2 linked regions of the Callithrix jacchus genome follow. The protein of the gene in region 2 binds, or shares a complex with, the protein of the main gene of each other region. Links are inferred from orthologs where the notes say so. Each region holds a gene or a part of one and is shown on either strand. Other genes may lie near its edges. The genes, in order: SMARCA2 and ARID1A.

What was found.
Region 1: ARID1A (region 2) and SMARCA2 share a complex: the UniProt entries of both Homo sapiens proteins name them as parts of the neuron-specific chromatin remodeling complex. The link is inferred for Callithrix jacchus from reciprocal best matches to the Homo sapiens genes ARID1A and SMARCA2.

The regions. Positions count from the first base shown.
Region 1 is NC_133502.1:108,560,943-108,568,106, reverse strand, and holds part of SMARCA2 (SWI/SNF-related matrix-associated actin-dependent regulator of chromatin subfamily A member 2), read right to left. Parts: intron 6,801-7,164; coding exon 6,734-6,800; intron 6,064-6,733; coding exon 5,953-6,063; intron 3,381-5,952; coding exon 3,138-3,380; intron 1,692-3,137; coding exon 1,578-1,691; intron 1-1,577. UniProt on the Homo sapiens protein: ATPase involved in transcriptional activation and repression of select genes by chromatin remodeling (alteration of DNA-nucleosome topology).
Region 2 is NC_133508.1:63,423,696-63,430,859, reverse strand, and holds part of ARID1A (AT-rich interactive domain-containing protein 1A), read right to left. Parts: intron 4,462-7,164; coding exon 4,254-4,461; intron 3,121-4,253; coding exon 2,988-3,120; intron 2,807-2,987; coding exon 2,631-2,806; intron 2,267-2,630; coding exon 2,116-2,266; intron 2,035-2,115; coding exon 1,900-2,034; intron 1,816-1,899; coding exon 1,719-1,815; intron 1,300-1,718; coding exon 408-1,299; intron 62-407; coding exon 1-61. UniProt on the Homo sapiens protein: Involved in transcriptional activation and repression of select genes by chromatin remodeling (alteration of DNA-nucleosome topology).

The sequences.
Region 1 (7,164 bases), on a different chromosome or scaffold from region 2:
TATCATCCTTCAAGTAAACTCAGGAATTTCTCTTGTAGAAAGAACCAAAAAATAAATACTTTTGCAAAGCAAAGAATTCCTTTGTGATATAATTAATCACCTCATAATCCTAACGCTGCAAAAATTTCAATTTTTATCTAGTGGATTTTCTTAAAATACACTTTCAACTTGTAATATATTTTTTAAAATCTATATTAGCCAGTCTTAGAAATGAATGAACAAGATCAAGAAGTTTTGCGGAATGAATAAACGAAGGGCTTCATTTTTTATACCTCTTCTAAAGAAAAAAAATTATGAGATAAATTAAAAGATTTAACATTTCATCGCTACCACTTGCAGAATCACTGTAACTGTATGCTAGGAAGTAATTCAAGGCAGCCACATGACCATTATGCTCATTCACCAGTTAATCTACTCAGTAACTAAACACCATCATGAACAGAAAAGGTGCTACCCAGAGGCCAAGACCACGGGAAATCAGAGGGAATATCAACAACATTCTACATCCAAAATGCATTCACCAGCAGAATGAAATACTTAAATACTTATACTTTCACTGAGATATGCATGGCATGAAAATCATTTTTATTTTTAATTTTTTTCCTGACTGTCAATGCATAAAGGATTAGGGAATAAAAATCTCTCTTAACAAAGTGATCAACTTTGTACACCATCTTGACAACTCCCACTTACAAATGAACAGGATGAACCAATCTGTCCAAAAATAGAGTCATTACCCAGAAAAACCACAATCATGCAAAAAAAAGACATTTCAGAATTGGCTCTTCCAAAGAAAAAACTCAAAGCAAAATATCTCATGCAACAAATAGTATACAGTGCTAAACTATCTTTAAGAGAATGAAACTTAGAATTTAAATATGCATGGTTCCAAAACATGATCAGAAACATAGTAAACTAATACTCAAATCCAACCCCAAAATATGGAGCTAAGGGCTCAAAAGGGGTTCTAAAGTACTGCAAACTAAGTTTCCAACAGTCAGTCTGAAAAACACTGGCTTAAAATGTTCGCAGGAACTTAATTTTTATGGCACAGAACAAAACCAATGACCCTGAACAATTACATGATGTGTCTGTAATTTACAGGAATTCTATTTTTGCACTTACTGTCAGAATGGTGACATCACAAACATCAAATGTTAAATAAATTTCTAGAAAACCTGCAAATGTTTACCACACCCTTGAATGATGATACAAGTCCCAAAGTCAAATCTTCCTTTCACTTATAAGCAGAACAATTCTACAGTGCCTGCAACAGTGAACTCAATGAGGTCAGTAACTTAAAAAAAAAAAATCTAAAATTAAAACATAAATGAGACTCAATGAATTTGATAATTTTATAAAATCGGCTCGCAAGTTTTTGTAAAACAGGCTGAAAATGCTATAATTTCCCTTCTCTCTCTAGCCCTACCAAACAAAAAAGCACTTTAAGATATTTTCAAGACACTTATAACCACAATATGAGCCTGCTGTTTAAGAAACACAATTTCGGAGGCAGATACTTCAAATGTATTTGCTGGAGAAAAAAAAACCTCACAACTTTTGATTGTGCCACATACTTTTTCTGGAAGCTGGGATTCAACTTCTTTCTTCAGTCTCCTTAGTAAAAATGGTCTTAATACCTTATGCAGACGTCTGATGATCAATATAGTTTCTTCTTCATTTAAGTCCACCTATAAGAGAGGCTTATATAAATTTGATTTTTTTAAGAAAAGGATAAAAAAAAAAAGGACATTTCATACCATAAAGCTTTATGTTACATTTATGTGTTTCAATACATGATTGAAATTTTACATGCATTAAATCCAGGTTTATGTCTGTTATACCCACCTCTGAATTACCTTTCCACCTGCCTACCAAGCAGTAATAAAATTACCTCTAAATAGGTGTCTTTGTCTTAATGCTGAGTTCTGTGGAAAAGAGCCCAGAAGCTACCAGTTTTCTATCAGTGGTGTCAACAGCCCCACATTGTATGTGGTATCACTGATGATGAAGGTGACAGAATGAGAGAAGGGGGGCAATAAGTTGATATGTTTCCGATTTAAAGGGGCAGCCTTAAATTAGGCTCTTCATCTTGGTTGTTTCAGTCACAGAAAAATACTAAAGGAACAGAGGTTTGAACATATAAAGAAGAGGATCAAAAGTAGAGTCTATCCAGTTTATGTTGGTGGCCCTGTAAGTCCCTCTAACTTCACTCCTTTCCTTTTCTCAGCCCTCTCTAGTTCAACTTTAGTCCTTTTTATAGATTTCCCAGCTTTCTCTTTCACCTTCTCCTACTAACCTCTAGGGGGCAGAGTTGATTGAGACTACTTTCTACAAATTGGCAAGCCAGTGAGTTAACTATTGACAGGGGGCCCAGGTGCCTCAAAATTAAAGGGCCAAACAATTCAAACCAAAATTTTGCTAAAGCATTTTTAGTGGCCTTTCATTCCTACGAATGAGGAACCTCTATGAAAATGACATGTGCCCATTTCTTTTCTTGCAATGGCCCATGTCTTGCTTTCACAAATGAGCTCTTAAGACAGTGGAAGGAACGGTAAGAAATTTGAAAACAAATGGCTACTCCAGGAAGACTTTTTATTTACACACAAAACTGAAACTCACACTAAAACCTAAAAAAAAGAAATAGAAAAAAGGTCTGCAGAAAATTAGTGAAAACTAGTTCTGTTTTACACACAAACTCTTTATGTGGAAATATTTTAAAGGGAACTTCCAAGCTTATAACAAGGAAAGATTTGTTTTAAAGCTTGTATTTAGTTGGTTAATTTGGTCTGCTTAAATTAATTCAGCAAAATATCTCCATGTTCATCCCTCCCTGTGACCCACTGCAGTTAAGCATTCCACCGGTCAGGACCCTTTTCTGGTAGCCTGGTAAACATGCTGGCAAAAGACAAAGGGGTTAGATGCCCCCAGTACCACTAGACCCATTTTCCCAGGAGGGGAAAATAACCCTGACAGAAGACCACGTCCACCCATTGATGGGTTTCATAAACTATGCAACACTGTCAACCACCCTGCAGGTGTTCTGTGGCTGTAATGTTCTCAGCTTTAGGGCCTTTCATTTCATTTCATTGTCATGTAGTGGAAAATAGTGGAAAAAACAAAAGTCAGACCAGTACCCTTTCACCAGTCATGGCAAATGGAGCATTAAACCATTGTTCGAAAGTGCTGCAGCTCTTAAAAATTGTGGGGAGGAGGAAGTTGAGGAGGGCCCAGAGTTCAGGGAGTTTATTCTGCAGCGGGGTCCCAGTCAAGAGGATCCTTCTGGGGGCCACGTAGTGAGTGTTCAAGACCTGAGTCAGCTTGCAGTGGTGATTCTTCATTCGGTGGCCTTCATCCACTATCATGTATTTCCACCGAATCTGTAACACAAGAGAAAGGATGGACATGTGATAAGCAAGGGAAAATAACAACTATTTCCCACAGGCAAGTGGTGGTGTGGAAAACCAAAGAACCCATCCTTGGTACATGATATGCTATGATTATCTTTAAGACAAGAGAATCTCAACAATGTCCCATGCCTGATAGGCCACATAAGACATCCTGTAATAACAGTGTTGAAGCAACAATGTTCCTTACCGACCATGTAATTCCAAATCAACTTCTTACAAAGAAGGAAATTTGGGCCCAGGATGATATGCTTGTTCCTACATGTGGATTGTGCATCTCCTCATCCAACGCCCCTTCTATTAATACTGTATCATGACAGCTATCCCACATTTCATGGTCATGCTACCTCTGCTCACAACAGGCACAGAATACAGGTACCCACTTGAAGCAGAAGTTAATGACCGATTTTTCCAAGATGGCCCTAGCAGGTTCTATAACTGAGATATTCTTGGCTCCATGCCTTCTTTTCTATTAGCCTGGCTGGTTACTACCTTTAGGGCTTGGCTCAGAAGTGTGTTTTGTTTTGTTTGGACTGGTTGCTAACATTTAAAAGTTGGACTATTTCACATAAAATCTATACATACAGCTTTTCAAAAATTAGTTCTGACAACCAAACTCCCTCAATCCATGCACATTCCTTACCTGTCAGATCTAGGACCCCTGTTTTATCTAAAATAAAAGGATCTATTCACTGGCAGAAAGGGCAATACAAAAATATAATTCCTCTATTTATGCCAAAACTGCAGAATTAAATACAGCAAACTTCCCCAACGTGACTATCGCTTAAAACATCTAGAAAGCTTACATGGCCCAGTCCTCCTTCCCGTCTACACAGTTCCCTTCCTCTCTCATAACTTACCCTTCAGTCCTCTTAAGAGTCAGTTTTTTAAGGTGAGAACAATGAGGAATGTTCCACTAAGCCTATCCATTCTCTACAAAACAGTGGCAATGGCCAAGAAAAACATCTGGTGCTCAGATGTCCCCAGATCCTGCTGCAAAGCTCCTAGAGAGAGAAGTGAGATGAGGAAAGTATTCTATACAGTCCTTGTCTTCCTCATTAGAAGCAGCAGATATGCCAGGGGAAAAGGTATAAAATCAGTCAGGCTGGGATGTACAGGTTTAAAAAAAAAAAACTACCCCATTTTTTTTTCCTTCCTCCACAACCTCTAAGAAAAGTGTTTAAGGATAATTAAAGCTGTACAATCAACTACCTCAAACTTACCAATAGCATGAAAAGAGGCAAGCAGACAAAACATATACAAATCTTCTAAATCTACTTTCCTGCCTAATTTAGCTTACAAAATAATAAGGAATCAGAGGCCTTTGATTTTTCTATTGGGTCTACTACTAATTAGGTCTTCCACTTGGAAAAAATTACTACCCCTTTCCCTAGCTCCATTTCTCCGGTAACAAACAAAAGCAGTGCATCTCGTTATCAGGCGTCTCCAATGAATCTTGAAATACATATGCAAAAGACACAATACGAATTTTTTAAAAAGGATCCCAAATGTACAAACACATTCCCATAGTAATATTGAAAACACATCATTTCTGACACTGCCAAATTCCTCTCTGAGTGTGAGGAGGTGGAACATAGCACTGTTGCCAGTGCCATCTCAATTATTAAACCTCCCCTGGGAGCAAATTTCCTTTTTGTTATTTCCTATGATGCCATGAAGGGAACTCTCAGTTCCCAGAGCAAGAGTTTAATGCAGAGAAAGAACAGACCCCAGAAATAGAGATTCTGTTCAATTTTGGACATAACTTAGTTTCAGATTAGAGTGCTTTCAAAACACCATGGGGTAAAAAAAATTACTAGAGAAAAAAAATTGAGTTTTCATTATTTGTTCCATGAAAGACGGTACTTTCCATCATTCTACACGAACGTATTAGAAGACAAGATGATATAAATGAGGAGAAAAGTTACTACTTTGTGGCTAAAGGACAACTGAGGACATTCAAATTAGGAGACATATTAGTCACAGAAACACCTCTTTCTCAGTTCCAAATAAATAGTCACAGAAACAGCCTTGAGAAATTCCAACAATGATAGTCTATTATTTCACCAGGAAAAACCTGAAACAATGCTACCACAAAAGCCACGGCTTGGATAAATGTTCATATGGTAGAGACCATATGGAGAGGTGCCTGGCTCATCTTCGGAGAGACAAAGGCACAAGAGGAATGAAGTTACTGACAATATCTCAGGGCAACAAAAGCAATTCTTTCTTTCCAGAGCATGTTCAAAGCTGTTGGAGAGAAAGAGTTGAAGAAGGAACCAGATGAATTTTTTTAAAGAGATGTAAACTCATTAACTAGGAAAGGATACGTAGGAGCTGCCCCAGGATCAATCATACACACACACACACACACACACACACACACACACACACACACAGCATGCATGAAATCAAATCTATGACCAAAATATACGAAACTCTGAAAAAATAAAGAAAGGGACAATTATACTACTGATGTGGGCAATACTTCACATTTCAGTGTGATGGTCCATATTAAAGACAAAATAGTTTTTTTAAAACATACCTTTGCAAGAATGTGCTTGTCTTTTATAATATACTCATAAGTAGTCAAGAGGACATTGAATTTGCCACTCCGTAGCTGGGGGACAAGGGAGCGACGCATGGCAGGAGTACCCTAAAGGAAAGAAAAAGATATATGCATGATCCAATGGACGTAGATGTGCATTTTTTTCTCACTATTCATAGCTTAATGATACCAGACATGTGACTGAATAATGTATAGCACACATTCTCATAGACTGATCTATTATATACGAGAAAGTCTTGGGTAAACTGCACACATCTTGACCCTTTTCAGATCTTTTTTAGAAAGCTTTTCCTACCAAAGACAGAGGGAAGGCAAAGAGAAATGGAAATGACAGTGACTTTGTGGTAGTAGAGAACCCGCTGCTCTGCTAAAAGGCTCCACTTCTACTGGGAAAGTGGAGCAGGCAGGCCGGGCACCCGGGTAACCGCCTGGCTGTGCAGGAGCAGTCGGCACAGTAGCAGCCCACAGTGAGCCAGTCAGCAGCACACAGAATGTGCGGTATTTGTCATTTGTATTACTCTCATCAGAAACCTTGCAATATGATAATTAACAATTTTCTTCTGGATTTCACTATCTGAAAGTAATTATGGTTTATTACAGTAATCTTCTTGGGATGATTAACTCTCACGGTTTAGTACATGATGTACATGACAAAACTTTACAACCAAATACAGTTCACAGATGTGCATATGGAATGAAGAAAACAGGGTCTATTTTTTGCTTTTCCACATTTATATATAAATACAGCATTCCAAACCTTGTAAGAAATTTTCACCACAGAAGGAGCCCATTTGTCAAATTCATATGTCCAGTTAGATAGAGTCCTATGGAACAAAAAAAATACAGAAAAAAGACATTTGTATAAAAATCAATGGTTAAAAAGATGTTATTCATTTTCAGGCCTCACCTTGAAAGGGGGTACAGAATATAATGTATCTCAACAACATATTTATTTTAAAGTTGTGGAAATAAGAGATAAGTTCAAAATAAACTGTCACAAAACACGACAAGTTTGTCTGTGGTTCATAAAAAAAATCTTATAAGATAAAAACTAAAGAATACATAAATATAGAGAGCAAAAACTAAATGTTAATAAGATATTGAAAAAGAGCAATTGCCAGAATGATTTTGGGAATCTTTATAAACAGCTATATAAGTTCAGAAAAAAGTTGAGTCAAGAAAAAGAAA
Region 2 (7,164 bases):
GTGCTCTCAGCCAGGAGACCAGACTTGAGGGACATCATTACCCGCCATGCCTCCGGGGTTCCTGAAATAAACCTCCATGTCGTCCATCCACCAAGCCCAGGCTGGCTGAAGGCACCCCCAGGGCTGCCCCATCAGTCAGGCTACTCTGAAGATTAACACAAAGTGGAAGGCAGTTCCTGTCTGGGAGATGACACATACCAGCCCCTCGTGGCTTCTAAACTATCTGTCTAGGACGTCATTGTATGGCAATGTTTTGAAGGAAAACCTTTAGTTGGCTTATTTCTTCCTTTTCCAAAGTTCTTTGGTTCTATTTTTGTCAACACTGGACCAGAATATTAAGGTGGAGGGAACAATGGACAAGACAAAAAGGGGCAGATTAGGCAACCCAATCAGGGAGGTCTCCTTACCAATGTCTTTCATTGTGAGCCGCCTCCTCTGCTTCAACACAGGCTGTGTGGCTTCAACAGAGCCAGGTGGGAAGGTGATATCCCGCCGAATCATGGGGGGCTGCACAGGGGCAGGTGCTATGTGTGAGGCAGGCACTGGGGGACCTGCCTTCTGCATTTTCATCCCAGAGTGCAGGAATGGAGACTTGCTAGGAGAGGTACGGTTCTCCATTGGCCGGGGCAGGGGAGCAGGGCTTGATACCTGAGGAATGTGATTCTGCATGCTTGGTGGGGGCTGGTAGTTAGATGGAGGGGGCCTTGTCATGGGGGGCACGGGAGCAGAGGAACCATATGGGGGCTGGCGTGTGCCATGCGAAGGCCATGGGCCTTCATGATTGGCCCTCTGATCTGTGTGCAGCATTTCATCTGTTCGGTTCACGCCATGATAGGCGGGGCCCTGGGGGGCAGAGCCCGTGCTCTGCCTGTTGGCATAATTATAGGTCATGTCATTACGCCCCTGCCACATAGTGCCTTGCTGAGCAACCTCAGCTGATGCCTGTATGGGGCCGCCCATCATTTGCGGTGGCATGTTTTGCTGGGCACTGGTGCCAGGGGGTGCAGAGACACGGTCTCGGCCAAACTGGAATGGAAATTGGTTCTGGGGGCCGCCTGCTGGTCGGCGCTCAGTAGCAGCAGTGGCAGTGGCAGGATAGGCATTGCCATACTGGTTGTATACATCTTGCTGAGGGGAAGGCTGGGCAGCTTGTTGCTGGCTGGCAGGCTGGGGCTGGGCTGGGGGCAACTGCTGCTGCTGAGGCTGCCCCTGCCCAGTGCTGTATGGCACACTGTACATCTCCCCTTCATGCCGCTTAGCAGGAGGGCCATATGTGCCATCCATTGGCCGCTTGTAATTCTAAGGCAGAGAGAAGCAGAGGACAAGTTAATGCTCTGCACTCAGAGACATAAAGCCCACAGATGCCAAGATGGCTACAACCAAATGAATGGTGGACACAGACTCCAAGGAAACAAAGGAATCACCTTAACAAACTGTCTTTTTAAGTTGTTTCCAAAAGCAACCACCACTCTTTCTTCCCCTCCCTTGCTCTAAGTAGAAAAATATATAAAACCTAAAAATCAAAATAAGATCTATTTCTAGCCCTTTCCAGCTCCAAACAGAAGAGATCGAGGACTTGGCTCTTTGGGCCCAAATGGCCAGTCAGGTGAGAGAAGAATGCCAAAATACTTAAAGTGAGCTTCTTAGACTTTAACACATTAGTAACTATCTTTCAAAGGGAATCTACATGCTAGTCCATTCCCAGCTACCCTCCTCACCTGCTGCTGCTGTGGATACATTGTGGTCTGTTGGCTGGGGAAGGGGCTGCCAGAAGGGGTGCCTTGGGTGGAAAACTGATTGCCATAGGAATCATGTCTACAGGAGGCAAAGAAACACATGATCAGGGTGGGCAGTGGCAAAGTCTGAGTCACAGCAGCACTGGGAGCAGGCTTTACTCACCGTTGCTGCTGCTGCTGCTGCTGTGGGGGGTAGCGGCTAGGAGAATACATCCCCGAGTCTGGGTTAGAAGGCATGAGATTCGGTTGTGGGGCCCCAGTGCCCATGTTTCCCTCAGGCCCTATTCCAGGCTCCGTCCTAAAGAAAATTGGAGAGGTGGATTGAGCCCACTATAGCTCTGGGTGCTGGGGGATGGATAGGAGCTGGTGCCATGCTTACCTCACTCTGTCATAAGGACCTCCATAGGGATAGTGCTGTCGTGGTCCCATTGCCACATTTCCAAGACCAGGGCCGGCAGCACGGCTGTAGGGGTCACCCATCCCGCCGTTGGGGCCCTGCCCTGAGGACATGAAGGGATCACTCCCTGGAGCTGAGTGTATAAAGGCAGGCAGTGAACAAACTGGCAAGTTGGCAAGCCTAGTAATCTACACTTTGCCTGCTCCAAAGACCCAGGCCCTTTTCAGAGTTCAGGTTTGATCTCACTGTTTTCCAGACAAGTTCAAAACAGAGTTCTAAAGATGCCCCAACCAGCAAAAAGCATGTACTTGTTAAGGGATGTCAAGGTGAGGCCAGGGAAGAGACAAAGGAGGTAGGGATGAAGAGGGGTAGTTAGGACAGGAAATGCATTATCTCAGAGATTGGCTCCACAAGAACCCTGAATCACTCAAGATTTTCCCCCATTTCACTGGCCCTGTCTTTAAGAGTACAAGTTCAATAGCAATCAGATCAGTCACCTTTCCTCATGCTGCCATAAGGATCCTTATTTGGCTCATAGGACATGCGCCCCATCATGTCAGAGGTATTCATACTGGGCTGATACCCAGGGTTTGGAGTCATGGAATTCCGCTTCTGGAATGTGGAGTCACTTCCATCATTAAAGGCATCCTGGATCCCAACCGAATTGCTCCTGCTCCAGAGTGAGGAAAATCAATTAAACCCCAGATAGACCAATTCCTCCAATATAACACAGGACACGCAGGAGTCACTGGCTGAGAAGGCAGAGGCAGGGACCACCCTTGGGCTGCAAAGGAGTTCCCATGCACTTATCTCCAACCATCCCCTCAACCATCCACCTCTGCTCTTGGCCTTACCTCATGCCTGGCAAGGGAGGGATCTGACTGTGTGGTGTGGATGCTGGAGTTGGTGGCTTTAAGTCTCCTCCTTCTGCCATGGAACTGCTGGTTGACTGAGGAGTCTGGGGCCCCTGCATAGATCCTGATCCCGCTGTGGACAGAGAAGCAAGTTGAGCAGTTTGCTTGGTATGGAAGTGTTTAACTCTCACAAAAACACATGAATGACCCAGAATCTCTTTGAGAAAGTTCTTCCTAAGGCCTTTCAAGCGTGATCACCATTCTTATCAGAAGATCTGCAATATCCAGGTCATAAAGAAGGAAATTTGAGGGTTTTGTAGCTCTTTTTGTTTTACATGTAGAGAAGAGAAGTGATGCGGCCATGACATCACTATGCTGGTGATTCCTTGAGTCACTGCCAGCTTCCCTGGCTATTTCTCTTCACTTCTCCAAGGACCTTGTCTAACCTATTAAATCCTGTAATGCTGGTGCAGGAGCTCCAGTCAGAACCTCCCAAATCCTGGGTAGGGTGGAATCCAAATCTGGGATGCATTTTAGGAGCCTAGGAGAGCTCCTGTTCTAAAGCATCCAGCATAGTGTCATCCCTCAAGTTCAAATGTTCTTCTAAGCTGATAAGCACAAAACTACTAGTAATTTAATGTTTCCAATAGTTACCATTCCCAGCAGTAGATATCCCACTGCTGAGGCCTCCCCAGCTGATGAGTCATCTCAGGCACTCATTACACCCTCAGAGGTCAACACCAGGGCACATGTGTTTACACCCACCTTCCAGGCACCCTGGCCTTCTTTCCTCCCCAGGCTCGCCCTAGGTCTCAGCCTCCTCTCAGAATGGAGGGTAGGCAGAGGCACTCCCATCAGAGAGTTCCATTCATATCCCTTCCCCACTCCCTCCTCATTCATTACTATCTCAGCTCCCTGGGGAATTCAGGGCTCTAGTGTGAGCTGCATTCTAAGGTGCTGACATCAATGGGCCAAAGCTTCCAGATGGCCCTGCTTTGCTGCCATTTGTCAGTTTCCCCACTCTTCTTGTGCCCCTCCCATTCACCAGTTTACAAACATTTGGCAAGTTGCCAGGTGCACAACAAAAATTAAAATTTAAGGGCTGCTGAAGAGTACCTCCCAGGGAAGTTTCCACTGCCCACTCTCTATTCAGCCAACCTGTTAAGACCTGTGGTAGGGCAAGAGCACAGATCCTTGGCATATCCTGCTGGAGGCAGGTGCAGTAGGCCCTCTCAGCCTTAGTGGGGCTGCTGACCCCATCCTTACCAGGAGAGGGAGGCTGGATCTTGGGCTGGGACTTCTTGGAATCGGCAGCTGCAAAGATGTCTGGGGGAGGATCTTCTCCCCGTTCAATCTTGCACTCAAAGGCATAGAGACACTGGATATACTGCTTTTTCAAGGAGCTGGCAGCACTGCTTGATGTGCCCACATTGAGGTTTGTTGCAAGTTCCCGCCATTTTTTGTTCTTGTTGACCTGTATAACCAAACCACAAGAGTCGGGGTATATCTCCTGCCTGGTTTTCCTGTCCATAAGCCACAAGCCCTATCAGGCTGCAAGGTAATTCATTTTTGTAGAATCACAGTTCTTAGGTAATTACAAAAGTTAATCTTGCTTGGTGGATAGTTCACAACAAGTGTTAAATCCAGTTTTTTAGTATACTGCCGAAAAATGGTGTACAAATCATCTGCCTATTTAAACCCTACTTTTTCTGAGACAGAAAAAATAAATCTCGCTCTGTCGCCTAGGCTGGAATGCAGTGGCACGAGCTTAACTTGCTGCAATTTCTGCCTCCCGGGCTCAAGCGATACTCTTACCTCAGCCTCCCAAGTAGCTGGGATTACAGGAGTGCACCACCACACCTGGCTAATTTTTGTATTTTTAGTAGAGACAGCATTTCACCATGTTGGCCAGGCTGGTCTCAAACTCCTGGCCTCAAGTGATCTGCCCTCCTCACCTCAAGTCATCTGCCCTCCTCAGACTCTCAAAGTGCTGGGATTACAAGCTTGAGCCACTGCACCTGGCCCTAAATCCTATTTTAAATGTACTACTAAAAACTAACATTTTATAAAATGGAGACTTGTGATAGTATCAATGACTACCCTGCTTGACTTGCTTTGTCAAACTGGGGATTTACACATCTGATTTTTTTTCTTGGCATGGCACTCTCTGCAAATTTGACATTCTTGTGCCACTGCTCTCCTACATATCTCAGTGACAAACAACCACAGGTCCCTTTACCTCATCAGTCACTGTCCTAATTGTCCAGATGTTCAGCGCCTTATTTATTTATTTAAAGAGTCTCACTTTGTCATCCAGGCTGGAGTGTAGTGGTGCCATTTTGGCTCACTGCAACCTCTGCCTCCTGGGTTCAAGTGATCCCCCTGCCTCAGCCTCCCAAGTAGTGGGACTATAGGCGCCTGGTTTACCACGCCCCACTAATTTTTGTATTTTTAGTAGAGACAGGGTTTTGCCATGTTGGTCAGGCTGGTCTTAAATCCTGACCTCAGGTGATTCAACCATCTCGGCCTCCCAAAGTGCTAGGATTACAGGTGTGAGCCACTGCACCCCGCCCAGGGCCGCCTTATGACTTTTGTACCTCCCCAGCAGCCAACCTACAGTTTTGCCTCCTTCCCTCAGCTTCAGGGCACACTGACCAAGCCCATTTCCTAGATGCTCCTTACAATTAGTCTTTCTGCTCTAGCTGGACAGGTCTTCTTCTTCATGTATTCTTATGCTTATTCATTTACCATATGGTAAGCCTGTCCCAAGGCCTGGGAACAAGGATTTTCCAGTCCCTATACACAAAGGAAGTTCAATAGGTTAAAATGTCTGCTGATATGGTACCCATGATACCAGAGAGGAGTTTAGAGAGCCACAGAGGGGGACAACCTAGATGGGGCAGAGGTGCATAGGAATACTTTCTAGAGTGGGTGAGCTAAGTCTTCATGGTTGGAGATGGCCTTGGGGGAAATATCCAGACTCCCATCTCTATGTCATCTGGCCAGTCTACTGGGTTGGCCACTCCTTCCACCTAAACCCTACTAATCCTTTAGATAAGCTGAAGATTCATCTTTGCTTTCTGGGAGTCTTCACAAACTAACTTATAAATAATACGCTTTTGCCACTGATTTATCACTGTTTTTATAAAAGTTTGATTATAATCATGGCATTTTAAAGGTTTGCATCCTTATGCAATTTGGAAGACAGGCTCAGGCATCAGGATTCTCTCTGTAACTCTTCCTAGGTTCAGTGAACCCTGAAGCCCACCCAATGAAAAGTGAGTGAAACTAACTCAATGCTCCCTTTCCCTATAGGCAGGGAAGGCTTGACTATGCGATCTGAGTATCAGGCAGAATGGCAGGAATATACATGGAGCCACCTCAGAAGCCTTTTGTGGCTTTGCTTCTCATGCCAGTTTTGTGGCAGTACGCACGTGTCTTGTTTTGTTTTGTTTTCCTTTGTGGGGGAGGGGAATAAAGCCTAAAGGGAGAAGGAATTCATAACTGACTGTTGGCTGGCTTCATTCCAATCACTTTCTTTTCTGCTGGTGACAGCTGTTTTCCTCTTCTGGTTTAGAAGGTTTGGAGTAAGTCCCTCCCTGCCACGCCTCCCTGAGCTCAGCCACAAACTGATCCAACAGCAGGCTTCTGGTCTGGTGACTACAGAACACGCACAGGAGGAAAGTCCACAAGGCATAGTCTGCTGTCTGTCTATGCTGCCTCACCTGTTTGCCTCCTGGGCTGAGTCTACAAAACTGTAAGGTAACAGAGTAGGCACAAGCTCTGGTTGGTGTACGATTCAGGTATTCACTTAAGTCTTCCATACAGAATAACTAAACACATAATTTCCTACTACTTCTTCCTCTATAATAAACTATTTCTACTAAGCAGCTCCTGAAATCCTATCTCCACTGGGAAGCTTCCAGTAATGAGAAGATCTACAACTCCTCTGGCTAGCTCCATACCATCTTGCAGGCCGATTTATGCGGCAGAAACCTTGCTGAAAGCCTTTTTCATTATTTCTAACTTGTGACAGTCTAGTGGATTATATACTGTCTATATTTTACAAACAAGGAAATTAAGGTTCACAGTGGTTACACATCTTGATTAAGGTCATATATGTTGTAAGTGGCTAAGAAGGGATTCAAAACCAGGTCCATCTCCCCAACTCTTGTCT